3 linked regions of the Callithrix jacchus genome follow. The protein of the gene in region 1 purifies or fractionates together with the protein of each later gene. This does not show direct contact. Links are inferred from orthologs where the notes say so. Each region holds a gene or a part of one and is shown in the gene's direction. Other genes may lie near its edges.

Region 1 (5,871 bases):
TATCTATTTCGCAGTGGACATTCAATTAAATATGTATAGAATGAATGCATGAAAGAATGCATAAATGACTTGCTATTCATGCAAAAAACTCAGTAGGGATCTGTGGAGGGTCCTATCTTACCTTATTCTATAACAGCCTAAAAATTAAGAAGTGAAAACTTTTCATCCTCTCATAAGAAAGCTTTCCAACATACCTTTGTTTTTCTCCACAACAGCATACCTGGAACACAGTAGCAGCTTGACACGTATTTGTTGAATTGATGAAGAGCCTGAAAAACGAATATGATGTCTTTATAATATAATGCCTATTCTTTCCAGACTCACTTTGTGCCCTTCCTAATTTATTCTCTAATAATAACAGTCTGTAATTTTCATTCATGGACCAAATACTTATTTAACCTCATTACGTGCCTGCACATTGGTGCATTGCTTCAAGTAGCCTCCTTTCTTTCCTTGCTGTCCCGTGTTCGTGGAAATTTATGAAACTATTCGGCGAATACCATATTTATTATGGTTTTCCTATCTTCCTTCATTCAATTCGGTTACGTCGCCCAGACCATCCCTGACCCCTTTAGCAGCTAGTGCCTGATTACATCAATTTTATGTTTGTCACTCCCTACCCCCATCTCTGACCCACCATACCGTTATGCTCTCAGAAGGCTGGAATTAAAGTTTGGTTTACCTGTGGGTCCCCAGGGCCCATCAAAAACCTAGGGGGCCAAACTGTCTATATATAAGTATTGAAATGAATAATTGCTACTCCTTATTGAACAACATGGATTAACACTTTGAAATCTCACCACAAGTCAGTTAGCTATTATCTCCATGTCATCGATGAGAAAAAAGAGGCTTGAAAAAGTTTAGAAACTTGCTTAAGGTCACACAGTGGTGGAGCCTGTTGTCGCAGGAATCTGAAGAATGAAGTCACCTTTGACTCTAAATGAGTAAGACTCCTATCTTTTCTTGACGTTTTCATTTAGCTTTTGCAGTCTTTCTTCTTTAGACCAATGACTCCTCATCTTGATAGTAAGTGGGGGCAGTACCCCCTTTCTTCGTTTTGGAAATTGTTCAATCTCTCTTTGGAAGCAACACTATTTTAAACTCTCTGCACGCTCCTTCTGTGGAAGAATCCGCGTAGGAGCCCTGGGGCACATACGAGGTCCGGTGAGAAGGGCTGTCTTTCGAAGCGTAATGCGGGAACTAAGCGTTTTTTTTCCGGGAAGAAAACACAGAGAAAACTTTAGCAGAGGGGAGGATGGTCCTTCGGTTAGGCGAACATCCTAAGACTTGAGGGAATTTGGCTGCTCACACTTAAGGTGGCTGCGGGCGACTCTGTTGCCCACAGCTAAGATGGCTGCTTATGACCATCTCCTTTGGCCGCCTCTGCTTTTTGCTCACTAGTATTTTCATCGAGGATTAAAGCGAATAAAATTTAGCAAAGGTTGGCATCTCCTTTCCAAGTAGATAAAATAAGAAGGTGGCACGGTTTGTTTCGAAAATCTTCTAGCGCGCGAATTGTTCTTGCCCTTAACGAAAATGGTCGTTGTGGTTGTCCCGAGGTTTGAAGCTTCCAGCCCTTAAATAAGATGGCGCCTAGAGGCGCGTTAGAAATTAGCTTGCCCGTTTTTCTGCCCTCGACCAACACGGCTTCCGTGGCGTCGCTCACGTGACATTCCTGGACTACGGCGCGGGAGAGGGGGTAGGAGGGCCCTTGAAGGGAGCGCGTTCCCGTGGCGGTGTACCCGGTAGGTTTCAGTCAGAGTCACTATGGCGGCCGGCGCTGGCAAGGTAAGCTGAGGCGGCGGTGGCGGCTAGGGAGGTAGAACCCGTCGTGGCGTCCTGCCTCCAAATCCTCGCAGCCCGCTTGTGGAGAGGTCGGCGGAGGTCATGCCTAGCGGTGGGAGCTGGCGGGGGTCTGGCTGGAGGGGGCGAGGGCTGAGGCGGGCGGGCTGAGGCGCCTGACGGCCGTTTGTTTTGATATTTTCCCCACCAGGTCGGAAAGTTTCCTGCCTCGTCCGGCGCAGCTTGAGCTTGCTCCATTGGCCGTGATCGGTGGAGGCTGCGGCGGACCCAGCCCGGGGCCTCCAGGCCTCTCCCTAACCTCCGGGCCAGTCTCCCTCCCCCACCTTCTCGTCCGCCCGGAGCTGCGACTGCTGTCCCTGAGATGCGACCCTCGCGGGGGCGACCCTGAGGGGAGGCGGCCCATGTGCTGAGCGGCGGCGACCAGGAGCCCAGGCGTCCGGGGACCAACTTCCTGCCGCCCGAGAACCCGAACCTCCCGGTGTCGCGCCTCGCTCGGTCCGCACCGGCCTGCGGAGCCGGGTCCCCGCCCTGGTCGCGGGGACACCCGCCAGGTGCCCAGGAGTCCCGACTTGGCCACTGCTCGCGCCCCGCCGGCCCCCACGCCTCGCGCTGAGGACCCCAGGCACTGCCGCCTCGCCACGCCGGGGACCGAGTCCCCCTTCCCGGGGCGGCCTCCGCGCAGCAGGGGCGATGCAGACTGTCCCGCCGGCCGTTTAGAGCCCCTCCGCCTCCGTCACCTCTCGCCCTCCACTCCGGGCGAGCACGGGCGGTGGCTGCCCGGAGGTGCCCGGCCACACCTTCCTTCGGCCCAAAAGGACTTTCCTGGCCGCGCCGAACCACGACCCTTCCTTCATGCTGCAGTGCTGCAGCGTTTCCGCCACCGAGGGGGAAAAGCGGCCGCGATCTCAAACCAAACACAAGAATTGGAGTGTGACTCATCTGCTTGGATACCTCCAGTCCCCAAACTGTGCTCCAGGAGTTTTCTTGGCCGAAGCTGCCCGATGTTTGAGCCGTTTCTTCCCAGAGAGGAAGATGGACTGAAAGCTGCCCGTTGGGGACTTTTCGTGATTAGGGCACTGCTGGGTTTTGGAGGAGGTGATGGGGCTTGCGCTGGCTTGTCTTCCCACCCAAGTGAAGAGTTGTTGATGTTCACTGGTTATGCATAGACAATGTGCAGTTTGTTTTAATTTAAAATTTTGGGTGGGATAGGGGTATAGGCTTGTGAAGGGCAGCCCGGATCCGGAGGAACTCCTCTTTGTCCCTGGTAGGAGAGACACCCCAAGCCTATCCTCGATGCCGTCAGCCTTGGCCATCTTCACTTGCCGCCCAAACTCGCACCCGTTTCAGGAGCGTCATGTCTACCTGGACGAGCCCATCAAAATCGGCCGTTCAGTGGCCCGCTGTCGACCAGCGCAGAATAATGCCACTTTTGATTGCAAAGTGCTGTCAAGGAACCACGCTCTCGTCTGGTTTGATCACAAGACAGGCAAGGTAATGTCACCACCACATTGTCCAACTGCATTGTTTAACAAACTCCTCCCCCACCCCACCTTTGCCCTCCCTGAAAGGCCTGACTTTTGCAGGATCCCAGGCTTTGCATCCACAGGAGGCTTTGCGCAAAGCCAGGAATCAACTGTTTGTGTGCCTGGTTCTAGTGGAAATTTGATTGAGGTGGTTGAATGGAAAACAGAGAAGGTATTGTAATTAAAAGCCTCAGGAGAGCTATGGCATCTTGATAACGTAGTCATTCCCAGAGAAATCCCAAACTAGATTGTGAAACTTGGCGTCTTGCTTTCAGTCTGTTGAGAAAGGTGAATTCACAGTTCAGCTCTTTATTAAGCAAGCAGCAGTTCTCAAAGCAATTCGGGGAATCCGTGGCCATTATTACCCTGGTGCTCAGGTGTCTTTGTGGTGAAATGTAGTTAACACATAGCTTTAGTTGAGTTCAGATCAAGACCTTTCTAAGTAAGGACAGTTGCTGGTGTAAACCTAAGATTTTTGAAAGGTTTGCTATATACTTGCTCTTGAAGGAATCATTTGCAATAATCAAAGCTAATTTAATTAAGCATGAGAACTGTACTTTATATATATTGAGAGTTTTTTTTACAAGTTGGTTGCACATACATATATTGCATTTGAAAATCACTTTTTGATGTTCCCTGCAGCACTTATTAAGTACTTATTGCATACTTACAGAGGTGCTATGCAAAAGTTAGTGTTAGGAAGTGAACTTATTTTCTGAAATTACACCCTAGTCTTTCAATTATAGTGTTACTTAAATGTGATAGGATGAATTCAGTGCTTTTCATTTTAAGTGTAACCATTTTTAGCATTTTTGCGTTAGTATCATGACTTACTATACATGTATGAGCTTTTAAGAATGAAGAAAAAAGATAGGATCATTTCCATTTTTAAAAACTATTTATGTTTGTGGAGAGTATACTAAAGAGCTCGTCTTAGTGCCTAAACCTCAGGTTTTTAGCCGAGCTACTGAATCAGTTCCAACTTTAAGTTATGTAAGACTAATAGGACTGTCTCAGGTTTCACCTCCTGACTTTTTGCCCCTTCTTTCTGAGTTAAATAATTAAATCTTTCTTAAAGGAAGAACTTAAGTCTTCAAGAATATGTTTTGAAGTGAAAGAAACCTGAGCCTCAAAAGGAAGAGAAAAAAATGATAACTTTGGCAGCTACTGATTTAAGGAAATATTTTATTATTTTTTAAAGAAAGGAGGAAAAGACTGTCCGAGTTATGTGTGCTCCATAATATCTATATTGTGTGTGTAGCATGAGAACTGAAGAGTATGTTAACTTTTCTGTGTAACACCAGTTCCTCATTTACCTGTGGAACAGACCCTTCCCCCAAGCTGGTTAGGGGTGCCTAAAATACTTCATAGATTACTTGATATACATATATATATTTTTTTTTTTTTTTTGACAGATTTTTACTTGCAATCTTTTTTTTTTTTGAGACAGATTTTTTGCTATTGTCACCCAGGCTGGAATGCAGTGGCACTATCTCAGCTCACTGCAACCTCTGCCTTCCAGGAGAATCAACCTCTGATTCTCCTGCCTTAGCCTCCCAAGTAGCTGGGATTACAGGCGTATGCCACCATGCACAGCTAAATTTTGTATGTTTAGTAGAGACAGGGTTTCACCATGTTGGCCAGGCTGGTCTCGAACTCCTGACCTCAGTTGATTCCCCCCCCCCCCCACCTCAGCCTCCCAAAGTGCTGGGATTACAGGTGTGTGCCATGACACCTGGCTCTCATAATTCTTTAAAATGAATATTCATAGACGCCATTTTTCTAGCAGTTGAATTCAAACATCAGTTTCATACTAGGTAGTGCCTTAATTCAACCAGCTTTTACATTTTTGCCATTTTGTGTCCTTGGGCAACAGGTCTAAACTAATCAGACAACAGGTTTGCTCACAGGACATACTCTGCAAATACAGTTTCTTTTTTTTTTTCCGCACCCCCTCCTGCAAATGCACTTTCTTTGATTAAACACTCAAAGGGGACTCAGATTTTTTCTTGTACTTATTTGACAAACAGTGATTTCATACATAGTCTTTTCCATTGGCTGTACTAAAACTCTCACAATAGGTTATTTTGAGATACTTAAGAATAGATCAATAGTGACTGTTTCATGATTTGAGATGATATGTTATTTTTTTTTTTTTGAGATGGAATCTCACTCTGTTGCCTAGGCTGGAGTGCAATGGAATGATCTTGGCTCACTGCAGTCTCTGGCTCCTGGGTTCAAGTGATTCTCCTGTCTTAGCCTCCTGAGTAGCTGGGATTATAGGCATGTGCCACTATGCCCAGCTAAGTTTTGTATTTTTAGTAGATACTGGGTTTCACCACGTGGCCAGGCTGGTCTCGAACTCCTGACCTCAAGTGATCCATCTGCCATGGCCTCCCAAAGGACTGGGATTAAAGGTGTAAGTCACCACGCCCGGCCATGAAATTTGTTCTTTCAAAAAACCTTATCTTTGAGGGGTAGATATGGTTTATTTCTACCATTTTCACTTTTTCCCCCTTCTGCTTTATTACCTAAAATAACACGC
Region 2 (6,126 bases), on another chromosome or scaffold:
TTTCATAATGAGCTATACAAGAGATGTTTTCAGAAACTTTGAAGGACCCATAACTCTTCAGAGTAAAGGTGTCATTTTATCAATGAATGAGGAAGTAACTATTTAGTAAAACCAGCTTATCTATGGCAAGAGCAGTTTCAAAACAGGTATTTGTAATATGATTTTGTTGCCAAAGTGAGGTATGTCTCAAATATTATTGTTAAAAATGGAAAAATATAACATCTTTGAAGCAGTTTTCAAGAAGAACTTTAAATTTAGGGAATTTGGGAATTTATTATCTAAATTTTAATTGAGACCTTTCTATAAATATCGGATAGGATTGAAAAATGAGCATCTTGATCTGATAAGATAAACTTACTCCCTTTGATCACGTATATTTTTGAGATAGGTCTTTCAACTGTAATAACCAAGACCAAATCTTGCAATAAACTTAATTTAAACTGCTTATCTCATCAACCTTTGTTTTCTTCTTTCATCCAGTAGACTCAGTGCCTGCTTATAAGTTTGTCTAGTGTTTGTCTATCATGTTTACTAATGGCATTTACCATTTTCATGGTCCTGCCACTGCCACTTGGGCCTTTTTTGGTCAACTTTCCTGTTAATATGTATTGAATGCGTTTTATATGCCAAGTACAATATTAGGTATGTCTGTTTTAGGGGATAGAAAACAGGTTCAGGAGAATTAAAGTTATGCAAGTAAGTGGCAGAAATAGGACCTAGACCTAGCTCTCAGTACAAAGCCTTTGCTCTTTTTCTTTGCCACTGCCTTTCAGTAACATACACACATGTGTGTCCACACCCCCTACATGCCACAATTTAATTGCGGTCTATTTTTATTTTAAAGTTGTCTTGGGATAGAAGCTTCTATACTGTAGAGGTGACTCAAGAAATCCTCCCTTCTTGTGTGTAATGAAGGAGACCATATATGCTAGGAACATTCTGTCTATATCACAAACAATTGATACATGACAAATGTAAAAAAAAAAAAACTATTGGAATAACTATTATAAAATACTAATTTGGTAGAGTCTGGGAGTGAGCTAGCTCCAATCTAGCCTAAAGGAAAGAATGTGCTATTAGATATATTAAAGACCAGCTTCTTCTTATGGTAAATGTAATGAATGGTGTATTGTATGGTTCTCTCATTTTTCTCAGTGACTGTAGAGGCTGGTACTGCAAGAGACAGCTCCATCTGCAGCTGGAAGATTATTTATTAAGTCTTACTAGCATAGTACTGTACTGTTAAGTTTTATGTGGGCAATGAGTTTAAATAAATGCTTTTATTTATATATTAAATTATAGAATACTGATTCCAGTATGACTGAACTGTAAGGATCCTCTTCACACAGGTATCTACAGGAGGTGGGTTATACAGATACTATTCTAGATGTGAAATCTAAACGAGTGCGAGCTTTGTTGGGCTTTTCAAGTGATGTCACTGACAGGGAAGATGACAAAAATCAGGACTCAGTTGTAAATGGCACAGAGGCTGAAATTAAAGAGACAGCAATGATTGGGTAAGTATTTTGTCTGGGAAGTGTTTTAGCTATAATTAGTTCTTATTAAATATTTTTGGTTTTATGGGCATTATTTGTACTTTCAGGTAGTGACATAGAAATAATTAAATTATAATTTAATAAAAATTCTAAAATTTTGTTTGGTTAGAAGTTAACACATAAGGATTGGAGTTATTCTATTTTAATTCAAGAATACTATTATGATATTTGCTTCAAATTTATGTATTTATGTATTAATACATAAATATACATAATAATATATGTAATAAATACATAATCATAATTATGTATTAATACAAATTTTAGTATATTGTCCTAATCACTAAATAAAAGTTCAGAAAACATTTTGTTTGGAAATTCAGTACAATATGTAAGAACAAAATTTCATGACTGGTGATCCAGAAATCACAAAAGTACCTCAAATTATTTAGAAGTAACCCTGCTTTTAGCCACTTTTGTTTATCTCATAATGCTGTAATTTATCTTTCCTTTGATATAAAATATGTGTTACAAGTGACAGTGTAAGTGTGAAAAATTCATTAGCTATTTGAAATATTTTGTTTTCCATTTTGGATTATGTATCATACAATCATATATAATTCTACTTAAAATAAGCATAAACAGATCAATAAAGAGATTTTTCTTTATTGGAAAAAAACTTCCATGATTATTACTTGAATAAAAAGTCAAAAATTCTGTGAATGTCTTAGTATGGTTTTTATTTTGACACTTGTTTAGGAAGGAAGAATGGTTTTAATTGAGCTCTATAAATTTTCTGGTGAGAAGATAGTTCCTGTTATTTGGAATATAAACTAAAATTATGGGATTAGGTAAAGGTTCACTGTGGTACTTTTATAAACAAAGGTCTGTGAAGCCTTCTAAAATGTATTCGTTAATAATTAAGAATACATTTCCAACTTTTAAAGCTACATTGAAAAAGTACATTAACTTGTATTTGTAAATGTAAGGCATGGTATTTCTCTGTATAGACGAAGGCCGTGTGGACATTATCTATTTTTATGTTATGGGTCAACATAAGTCATCAAGTTAACTTAGATAGTATAATTTTTTTTTTTGAGACGTTTTCTTTGTTTCCAGGTTGGAGTGCAGTGATGCCATCTTGGCTCACTGCAACCTCTGCCTCCCGGGTTCAAGTGATTCTTCTGCTTCAGCCTCCTGAGTAGCTGGGACTACAGGCATGTACTACTATGCCCAGCTAATTTTTGTTATTTTTAGTAGAGACGGGTTTTCACCATTTTGACCAGGATGGTGTTGATCTCTTGACCTCGTGATCTGCCCACCTCAGCCTCTCAAAGTGTTGGGGTTAGAGACATGAGTCACCATGCCTGGCTGATAGTATAAATGTTTTTAAGAGCTATAATGCATACTTTAATAACCTTCAGTAAAGACTTTCAGGGAAGACCACTCGTGTGTGTTTTGACCTTGATCTGTCCTTTAAGAATGACCAGGCTATTGCTGCTAATCTGTCAGATTTCAGTAGGGATAAAGGGTTAGGAGAGGGTGATAACCAAACACAAAGCTCTAAGCAGATTTGAAATTTAAGATAGATCTGTTTTGAAAATTTTGTCCATAGTAGTTTTTATATATATATAAAATATATATATATATATTTTCCTTCGAGAAAATGCTCTGTCTAAAAGATTACCTGATGAACTGGAGAGAAATCTTTTTGTTCTGGCCATTGGAACCTTTAATACATTTATTTTGAGGGAACTAAATTCAAGTCATATATTTGAAAATTCAATTATTTCTAAAATATTAATCGTTTATTAATCAACAGGGTCAAGTCTTAAAATAATGTTAATTTGACTAGTGTATTGCTGTTAGTAACTTTATGTATACATTTTCTCTTTTACTTTAGTTCTAGAGCCGAAATACAAGATTGTATCAGAGAAAAATGACATATTTGTTATTTTCTTAGTTGTGGAAACTTATGTAAGAGGTCAAAGAAAGTTGCAGAGAGGATAAGAGTAGAGAAAAATGGAGGTAGAGATAATAAACATATTTTTTAAAAAAATACATTAAGATTGGTATAAGGATCAAAATAATACTGAATCAGGAAGGGGAGTTCTTTACATTAGATTACCACTAATTTAAGTAAATATGAGTGGCCAGGCATGGTGGCTTATGACGCCTATAATCCCAGCACTTTGGGAGGCTGAGGCTGAGGTGGGTGGATCACTTGGGCTCAGGAGTTAGAGACCAGCTTGGGCAACATAGTGGAACCCCATCTCTGTTGAAAATAGAAAAATTAGCTGAGCGTGGTGGCTCCCCCCTGTAATCCTAGCTACTTGGGAGGCTGAAGCTGAAGAATTGCATGAACCTGGGAGGCAGAGGTTGGAGTGAATTAGATCATGCTACTGCACTCCAGCCTGGGCAACAGAGTGGTAGGTAGGTAGATAGGATTACAAAGTACTTAAAAGAGTATCTACAGCCTGTATTGCTTTTTAAATTTATCTGTGAGAATGTAATTAATAAGAATCAATGTAGATAATGTGATTTGGGATTTATAGTTACCATATAAACAGAAGTTAATGCGACATATCATGGGTTAATTCTTATATTGAAGTTAAAAAGATTAACTAAGCAGGATATACATGTTTTACACCAGAAAATCTGAGTTAACAGATTCTGCCTCCGTGCTGGATAATTTCAAATTCCTTGAAAGTGCAGCTGCAGATTTCAGTGATGAAGATGAAGATGATGATGTTGATGGAAGAGAGAAAAGCATCATTGATACTTCAACAGTGAGTTAGATAACTCATACAATATTAATATTTTTAGGGACTGTAATACATACTACATAATGCATAAAATAATCCATGTTCTTTAATCTTAACCCCTAGCTTTTTCATTTTCATAAATTTGGGGCAAGTTTTTTATATTGATTTCAAATTAAGAATATTTTTTGTATAGTAGCTTTCTCTTGAAATTCCTCACTGTTTGATTTTTTGTTCATTCATTGAACAGGACAGTTTTCTATGGGGCAGATGAATATAGTAAATACTGTGTGTTATAACAATACAGGGTTATTGGTTGCTATAAGAGAATAGAACTGACAGACACATTATGGTGCCTGATGGTGACTAGCATCACCTCTAATATATGCAGTTTTTGTCTTGTCAGGATTGTTTTGGTAGACAAATTCTGCAGACTTTCAGAACTCTTCCATTAGATTTCTTCACAATTGTGTAGGGTTCTTCTCAAGTTTTGTTCAGAAGTTTATAAGATTATTGACTTTCCCATGGCAGTTTCTTGGAATGAGAGATGTCTCTTAGTAGCCACTTCTTCTTTCTCTTCCCTTCTCTATTTTCTTCTCTTCTTCCCTCTTTCCCCTTCTCTGTCTTTACTTTTCTCCCCTTCTCCCTTCTCTCACTTCTTCCTTCTTTCTCCTACTCCTTTTCATTCTTTTTTAAGTAAGAGATGAGGACATATTTTGCTTTGTCTAGGAAAATGTTTACATTTCTCTTCTTTCACATTTATTTGTGAATAGAAAGGAAAGTAAAGTAATATAAAGCCGATTGGACCTCTAGCTAAAAGACTGTGGTTAAGCTCCAGTTCTGCCACTATTTGTGTTTCTTAATGCTTCAGGCTTAGTTTTTTCATTTGTAAAATGTGGATTGTAATAAATAACCATGTTTACCATGGAGGATTTTGTGAGGAATAAAGAGACACTATGTGCGAAAATGATCTATTTAACTTACAAAGTGCTTTTTAAGTGTAACCTCTCTGTTTTTTATGCCTTCTGCTTCTTGGGCTCCATCAGAGACTTTCAAATTATTACTGCGAGATTATTATTTTCCTTGACCACTATTCAGTAGTACTTTGCTAATACAGCACTGCCATGGAAATTATTTGAACTTCAAGTAGTAACTTACAATTGTTCTTATCCAAACCGGTAGTAATAGCATGTGTCTTAATTTACCGTAGTAAAAGGCAAAGCCTAAACTTCTGTGACACTTTTTCTGTACCCTAATCATCTGGAAATTGTGTAACTCCTTGTTAATTCTATGGGATGACTGCATTGAGATATTATTTTTCCATCAAAATACTTTATTCATAGCTCAGTATTAAATAATGCCTTGAATCATGATGCTATATGTTTCTGTAAGTTAGTGATATTAATTTAAATATTTTAAAAGTTCATAAATATTAAAACTATTACATATGATTTTATTAGAGATTCCTAACCCACAGGCATAATAAATATACTGTCTTCTAATTAGTACAGATCATAGCAGTTCTGTGCTGGGTGCAGTGGCTTGTGCCTGTAATCCCAGCTACTCAGGAGGCTGAAGTGGGAGGATCATTTGAGGCTAGGAGTTTGGGACCAGCCTAGGCAACATAGCAAGACTCCATCTCAAAAAAAATTTTTTTTTTAATTAGCGGTGTACAATAGCACACACCTGTAGTTCCAGCTACCCAGGAGGCTGAGGAAGGAGGATCGCTTGAGACCAGGAATTTGATGTTGCAGTGAGCCATGATCATGCTATTGCACTGAAAAACTTTTTTAGTTTTTTAGAAAAAAATATTTTTAAGCAAATTAATCACTGGTTTTAACAGTTTTGCTTATTTTTACATTATATTA
Region 3 (6,226 bases), on another chromosome or scaffold:
TGCATCTTTACCTGGCATGACAACACATTTCCATCCATAGGTATTACAGTTACATTGCTTTGAATACACATATGGTCTAATACCGAGAATAAACTATTATTTTATGACACTACATGTTTTAAATCTGAACCCACTATCATAACACATATTAAGGGTAATCTTTAAGTGCATACTCTCTAACCAGAGAAAAGATTCCCATACAGCTTTCTATGCACTCTTGTTTTTCAAATGTACACATATTATCAGACACAAATGAGAGAATAAGGAGCAGCAGTGAAGTACACCATATGTTCCCATTGTACGCTGAATCCAGGTCTTTGTTCCAATATTACAGAGCCACTGGAAAGAAAGCTAACTATCCATTCATTAAAATTCATTTTTACATTATTGCTGGCAAAAGTTACACTTTTGATAGATTAAGTCAGAGCCCATCCTATCCTGACTATTCCTGCCTGCATTTGCTTCTTTAAAACGGATCTCTTGCAATTCTAGGAACCTGCAAAATAACTACTCTGGATAACAGGTCGGTAGCAGGACAATCTGATAAACCAATGTAAAGGGTAGACACTGAAGAAGAACGCAAAGTTCTTTTCCTAGTGAAATAGTTCGGAAGTCATTCTATATCAATAGCACAATTTTTCCTTTTTAGAGGCTACGCACCTATAACATCCACCAGATAACATCCACCTCATCCTCTATTAGCAGGGTTTTTCTCAATCTTGAGATCTCCCAGAACAGTTGTACTGGTGCGACTCAAACCAAAAACACTAACCACGCCCTTTATGCCCAGAATCAAGCTTCCTTTTGCTTTTTTGCTCTTAAAGTCCAAAAATGTAAATCTTTCACCCGAGAGGGTTTGCACCGGTTTCCTAACCCAAGGCGGACTCTTATAGCTGTGTCTTGTAATTCCCATTGGAAAACATTTCCTCCAGGGCAGTGCAGACGCCCCGAAGAAGGACCCCCCCCCGCCCCGCGCTTACCTCCCACACACCTGCAACCCCTGTCAGGATTCTGGAGCTGGTGCCGGGAGGGCTGCGCTCCGCTCCGCGCTCGTTCCTGCTTTCGTCTCTCCCGGGAAACTACAGCCCAGACTGCGCCTCCGGCTTCTACGGGGACCCAAGCTCCGCCTCCCTGTCCTCCAGTTGGCGAATTTGGCAGCTGTTGCTCCTCCCCCTGCTGTTTCTGCAGCTGCCCGGGCCAGAGGCAGCGGAAAGCAGCTGCCTTGGTACCTTCCCGCTCCCCGCACTTCTGCAGCTGCTCTGCTACTTCCTCTCCCCTGGGGGGGGTCCCTCTCCCCTCCTCTGTGGCCTCACACCTGGAGCTGCCTCTGGCCCCACCCAGGCGTCTCTGCCGGGAGCCCCGGCTCAGCCGATCCCTCCCCGACCCGTGGGTCAGGTTCCCCGGCGTGCGTGGGGCTTAGCTGCTCTTGGGGAAGCTGCCCCTCCGTCCAGTGCAAGTCCCTACACCAAGCCCTTCCTTCACCCGGGAGATTTCCCGGAGGCTTCCTCTCTACCCGCAAGGCATACTCAGCCCGATAGCCCCACGTTCCCCACCACGGGCCCCTCACCCACTTCCTTCCTCGGTTCGGTCAGCCCGCCCCCTCAATGGGTGAGGCGCCTGCCGGCCCGACCCCGCACCCTGATTGGCGCAGGTGAGGGTTTGCCCCGCCCTTCCTCTCCTATCCGTGCACCATCTCTTTTCTTCTCACCTCCTCCCGCAAAGGAAGGGAACTATCCTGCTATTGGCTAGGAGTGTCCCCACCCATCACCTCAGGCTCCCCCGCACGGCCTGCCGGTAAGTGTAGTCTTCCGAGTGCAGGAATTACGGACAACACCGGCAAGCAGGACTACGAGTCCCCATAGGCCTCTGCGCGACTCCGACTGGGCAGGATTCCGGACAACGCCTGGTTCCTCTCGGGTCCTTCCGGCGTCGCCGGAGTGAATTGATCCGGGAGTTGAAGAGGGCTGCAAAGGTGGGAAGTGAAGTCAGTGCCTCAGTTGCTGGTAAGATGTAGCTGTTCTGTCCCAGTCCCCGTAGCTCTCCACTGAGCAGAAGAGGTCTAGGGTCACGTAGGGGCCATAGCTGAGGCACTCGGGCTTGGTTCTGGCAGGCGGAGCGGACGGGGCTGGGAGCGGGGCCCTACGGGCGTAAGCGAGGTTACCCTACGCGAGTGGCGTAAAGCCGGTTTGTAAATGCCGCCTGCGGGCTTGGGCCCGAACGCCTCCAGGAAGTCTCCTTTGGGTGGGGGCGGGAGGGGAAAGGCGAGGTTGGCCCCTGGTGCCCCAGGAGCAGGGAGAGGGCGGATGTGCCTGGGGTGGGGTTCTTTAAAGGTGTGGCTTCGGACGGAGAGGTGAGGCTGTTGTTTTCCCCTTGCTTTGTAAGAGAAAGGGAGGAGGAAGGAAAGGGTGCTTGGGAGTCTGCTCTTGGGGTGACTAGGGTTATGCCCTTTGAGGGAAGAGGAGCACTGGAAGAAGGAAGAGACAAATGTTGTGGTCTACGGATTCAGTTCCAGTTTAATGATGTGGCTCCTCTAAGGAGGTAATTTTGCCTTAAACAGAAAGGCTTGACCCTCTTAGGTGTCATACCTAAGGTATGTTTACTCTTTTACTGCTTTCAGAGCGCTTTCATGTTGGGATGCTGATGAGGAAACCGAGGGATTATATGACGTGCCCAAGGTCACACACGGAGGGACAGACTTTCTCAATCTAGTCTGGTTCGAGTCCAGCTTCTAAACCAGAGCTGCTGCCCGACAGAGAAAGATTGGGGATGTTGGTTGTGTTTTTTGAAAAGGGTGGAGGAAGTTGCAAAGTAAATGTATTTCATATAGTACATCTAAGAAGCCATTGTGAGATGAAAAGTTGTTTCTTGAACTGAAGTGAAATTCCTCAATAAAGGAAAGAACCTTTTGGAAAAAATAAAAAGGGTCAATTTCAACTTTTACAGATTTTCCCCCTTTTATTGGGGGTGTATTAAAATATATTCTATTCTCACAGTTCATTTTTAAGGGTAGGTAAAGGGATGGGTGAACAACAGTTAAACAATGTATCCCTTCCTTAATAGAATATTCTTTTTCTACCTTAGGACTCTTTTTACTCTCATTTTGTAAAACTGATAATAGTGGGATTGGAATTCTTTCACAAGACTTCACACCTTTTCCAAATAATGTAGCCTTAGGAGAGTTTAATGTGCTTATTACTAGAAAAGAAGGTATTTTGCATTTCTTAGAGGTAAGATCCTATCGTTTGAGATTTTACTTTTCCCCCATTTTCTTGACTCTAGGCTCTTTGTGTATGTGTGTGTCTGCAAATAATAAAATCAGACTCTTGCATATTTTTTTCTTAGCATCATCTGTGACTTTTAAGTCATTCTTGTTTTACATTAAAGAATTTTTAAAAGTACGCTTATATTTTATATCTTGGAGAAAGTAGTGCCCTGTGCCAGTCTTATCCGCTATAATTGTTATGACCAGTTATATCTCATGACTGTTATTACTGGGTAAGTTTTTAAGGGAATTGTAATAGAATTCATTGATGGTAGAATTTCTTTGTTTTAACTTTAGATCCATAAAGGTTAGCATGTAGAAAATCATGGCTTATTCTTAGCATGTAGTAAGTCATAGGTTACTGTTTTATAGACAAGTTGATCATTCGACTATGCTGAATTTTGAATGTACTCTGCAATTATTTTAGTATCAACAATGTGCTTCACTTTTTAATGCAAAAATATTTTTTCGGAACAGAGATATGTTCCTGGATGATTGAAATTAAGATGGTCTGGAAATTAATGCGATTTTAAAATAGAAAAATTATGGTGCTATAGAATGAAGTAAAATCAGGAATAATGTGCCATGAGTAATAATAGTACACAGACAAGAAAGAATCAGTTAAACAAATGAAACATTGTGTGAAGATAATTGACTTCTTTATTAAGAAGGATTAATAATCCTTAATCTTGCTGGATTAAGAAGGCTGCGGTAGTGTAAGTAGACCATAAACTGAACATGTATCATTGATGGTAAAGCAAGAATATTAATGTATTTTCTAGATGACAGTGTAGGTATTTGCCTTTTGTTGAAGGAGGTATAAAATGAGTTCTAACCTTTGGCATGTAGCTATGTCATTATGGAAAGAGCTTTTGAACTGTGAGGAAAATTTGGAAATAAGTTAATATAATGCATTTGTTCAGTGTATTTTAGATTTCGTTTTCTTGTTTCAGTTCTAACACTAATTTCTCTTTATCTCTGAGGCCAGTTATAGTTTCGGCATTTCTTCTCCTGGGCTGGTGGATTAATGTTTGTATTGTATTTATCATCTTTCAGTCAGTCACATGCTGGAGTATCATGGTCACTTTAGATCTCTGCACCTTGGTTGGATAGTTAAAGAGTTCACAGAGTTATATATACACATGTATTCTAAGCGTAGTTTGCAGCTCACCAGTGTCTGCATTTCTTCTCATTTTGGGCTTTGCAGAAGCCTTATATCAGCTTCGGGACATTATTTCTCATAGGACTTAAGATGTCTTCCATGTATTATACATCTGTCTTTTTCTTTAAGGATGTAAGGTCTGTAAGAACAGGTGCTGTGTATTATTTATCACTGTAGTCACAATAGGTAAGATAATATTTACAAAGAGAATGAAGAGGCTCAAGTAGGTTAAGTAACTTGCCCAAGGTCATGCAACTACTTAACTGGTGGGAGCAAGACAAAATTGAGATCTTCTGACTACAGATCTTTAATATTGTGGAGTAGAGACTTAGTTCCCTTATTTACATGAGAAAAAGACTTAATGTGACTTAAATATTCAAATACTATTACCCACTTACTCTGTTTAACACTAAAAATTTATCTCTTCTCCTATCCAGCTCTCCATCCTTACCTCCAGCCTTTTTCATTTATGATGCCTTTCGCTTACTGCATAAGCTGCTTCCTGACATGGTGGTCTTTACATATTCCATCTCACTCCTTGGACAGTTCAACTCTTACCTTCCTAAATGTGGCCACCTGGTAGTCAGTTTTCATGTCTCAATTTAAATATCATTCCTCAGGGGAGCCTTGCCTTCCTACCCAAAACCAGCACAGGTTGCCCCTGTGTATTCACCATACTCTACACCTTTGTGGCATCATCATAATAGAAACTTAATTATTTCTGTTTTTATTTGAACAAATATTTGTGTGCTCATTGAACTATAAGCTACCTGAGCAGTGCCCTCTCATTTGTCATGTTTTACCCCAACACATATGTAGTACCTGGCACAATGTAAGGGTTCAGTAAATATTTGCTGAATGAATGAAGGAGTATATTCATGCACAATGCTTCCAGCACTTTTCTGGGGACAGAAATATAGAAATGAATAAAGTAGATAGGCTTTATGGATTGAAATATATAAGAACTTTAAAATGAGCTATGTAACACTTAGGCAACTTAGGTTATATGCAAAGGAGTCATTGACAGAATTTTAATATAAACTTTAGAAAAATGTGTATTTTTGGAGGTCTCTGAAATCAGGAATAATTTTCTAAATGAAAATGATAAAGGAATCACGTTCATTTACAGCAAAATTACTGTGTAACACAGCATTTTAGAGACTTACCACTGTCCTGCTTTTTTGCAGGTAATATTCATTGTATAAAATATAGGCATGGACTACAGACTTTAGACTGTAGACTAAAATATAGACTTCTATTGACTCTTCTTTCCTAGTGTTATCTCATTTTGTCCTCAAAACTTTTATCTCCTCTAAGTAGTAATATTAACACTGTTTCGTAGCTGAAGACATCAAGAAAATAAGTAAATTTACTTATTAAACGCAAAAAAGTTTAAATTGCTAGGGTTTCCAGAAAGTAGGTACTAGAACCACGGTTAGACTCTGGATCTGTCTCCGCATTCTAAAATCCATGCTTTTTCCTTTTTCTTTGCTTTTGTTTGTTTGTTTGTTTCTTTTAAACCATGCTGTCTTCCTGTGACTTAGACCTTTAATGTCACTTGATTTAGACAAGGTGGCTTTGTAAAATTTAGTAGTTTTTGTTTCAAAGGAACTTATATTTGGGGTTTTCTGAAAATTTTTGTAGTGCTAAAGTGAATCTTACTTGCTTTAAACCTATAGACTTAAGTATAAAAAGATCATCATTTTTAAAACACGCAAGCTGAATTTTAGGGATAAATTGTGTTAGGTTTTGGTCTTGAAAACAAATTCTGTAGTTACTTGCTGTACCACAGTATGGTCTAG

Evidence for each region.
Region 2: the proteins of SLMAP (region 1) and STRN purify together in Homo sapiens (affinity purification with mass spectrometry; 5 studies listed by BioGRID and IntAct, with this or other methods). This does not show direct contact. The link is inferred for Callithrix jacchus from reciprocal best matches to the Homo sapiens genes SLMAP and STRN.
Region 3: the proteins of SLMAP (region 1) and PDCD10 purify together in Homo sapiens (affinity purification with mass spectrometry; 3 studies listed by BioGRID and IntAct, counting the BioPlex papers as one, with this or other methods). This does not show direct contact. The link is inferred for Callithrix jacchus from reciprocal best matches to the Homo sapiens genes SLMAP and PDCD10.

The regions. Positions count from the first base shown.
Region 1 is NC_133516.1:39,558,691-39,564,561, forward strand, and holds the start of SLMAP (sarcolemmal membrane-associated protein), read left to right. Parts: upstream 1-2,742; 5' UTR 2,743-3,096; coding exon 3,097-3,294; intron 3,295-5,871. Other genes in the region: uncharacterized protein LOC144579547, read right to left, coding at 1,753-2,742. UniProt on the Homo sapiens protein: Associates with the striatin-interacting phosphatase and kinase (STRIPAK) core complex, forming the extended (SIKE1:SLMAP)STRIPAK complex.
Region 2 is NC_133515.1:78,086,524-78,092,649, forward strand, and holds part of STRN (striatin), read left to right. Parts: intron 1-1,349; coding exon 1,350-1,517; intron 1,518-4,149; coding exon 4,150-4,285; intron 4,286-6,126. UniProt on the Homo sapiens protein: Calmodulin-binding scaffolding protein which is the center of the striatin-interacting phosphatase and kinase (STRIPAK) complexes.
Region 3 is NC_133518.1:19,310,185-19,316,410, forward strand, and holds the start of PDCD10 (programmed cell death protein 10), read left to right. Parts: upstream 1-1,915; 5' UTR 1,916-2,003; intron 2,004-2,175; exon of another isoform or gene 2,176-2,350; intron 2,351-6,226. UniProt on the Homo sapiens protein: Promotes cell proliferation. Modulates apoptotic pathways. Increases mitogen-activated protein kinase activity and STK26 activity. Important for cell migration, and for normal structure and assembly of the Golgi complex.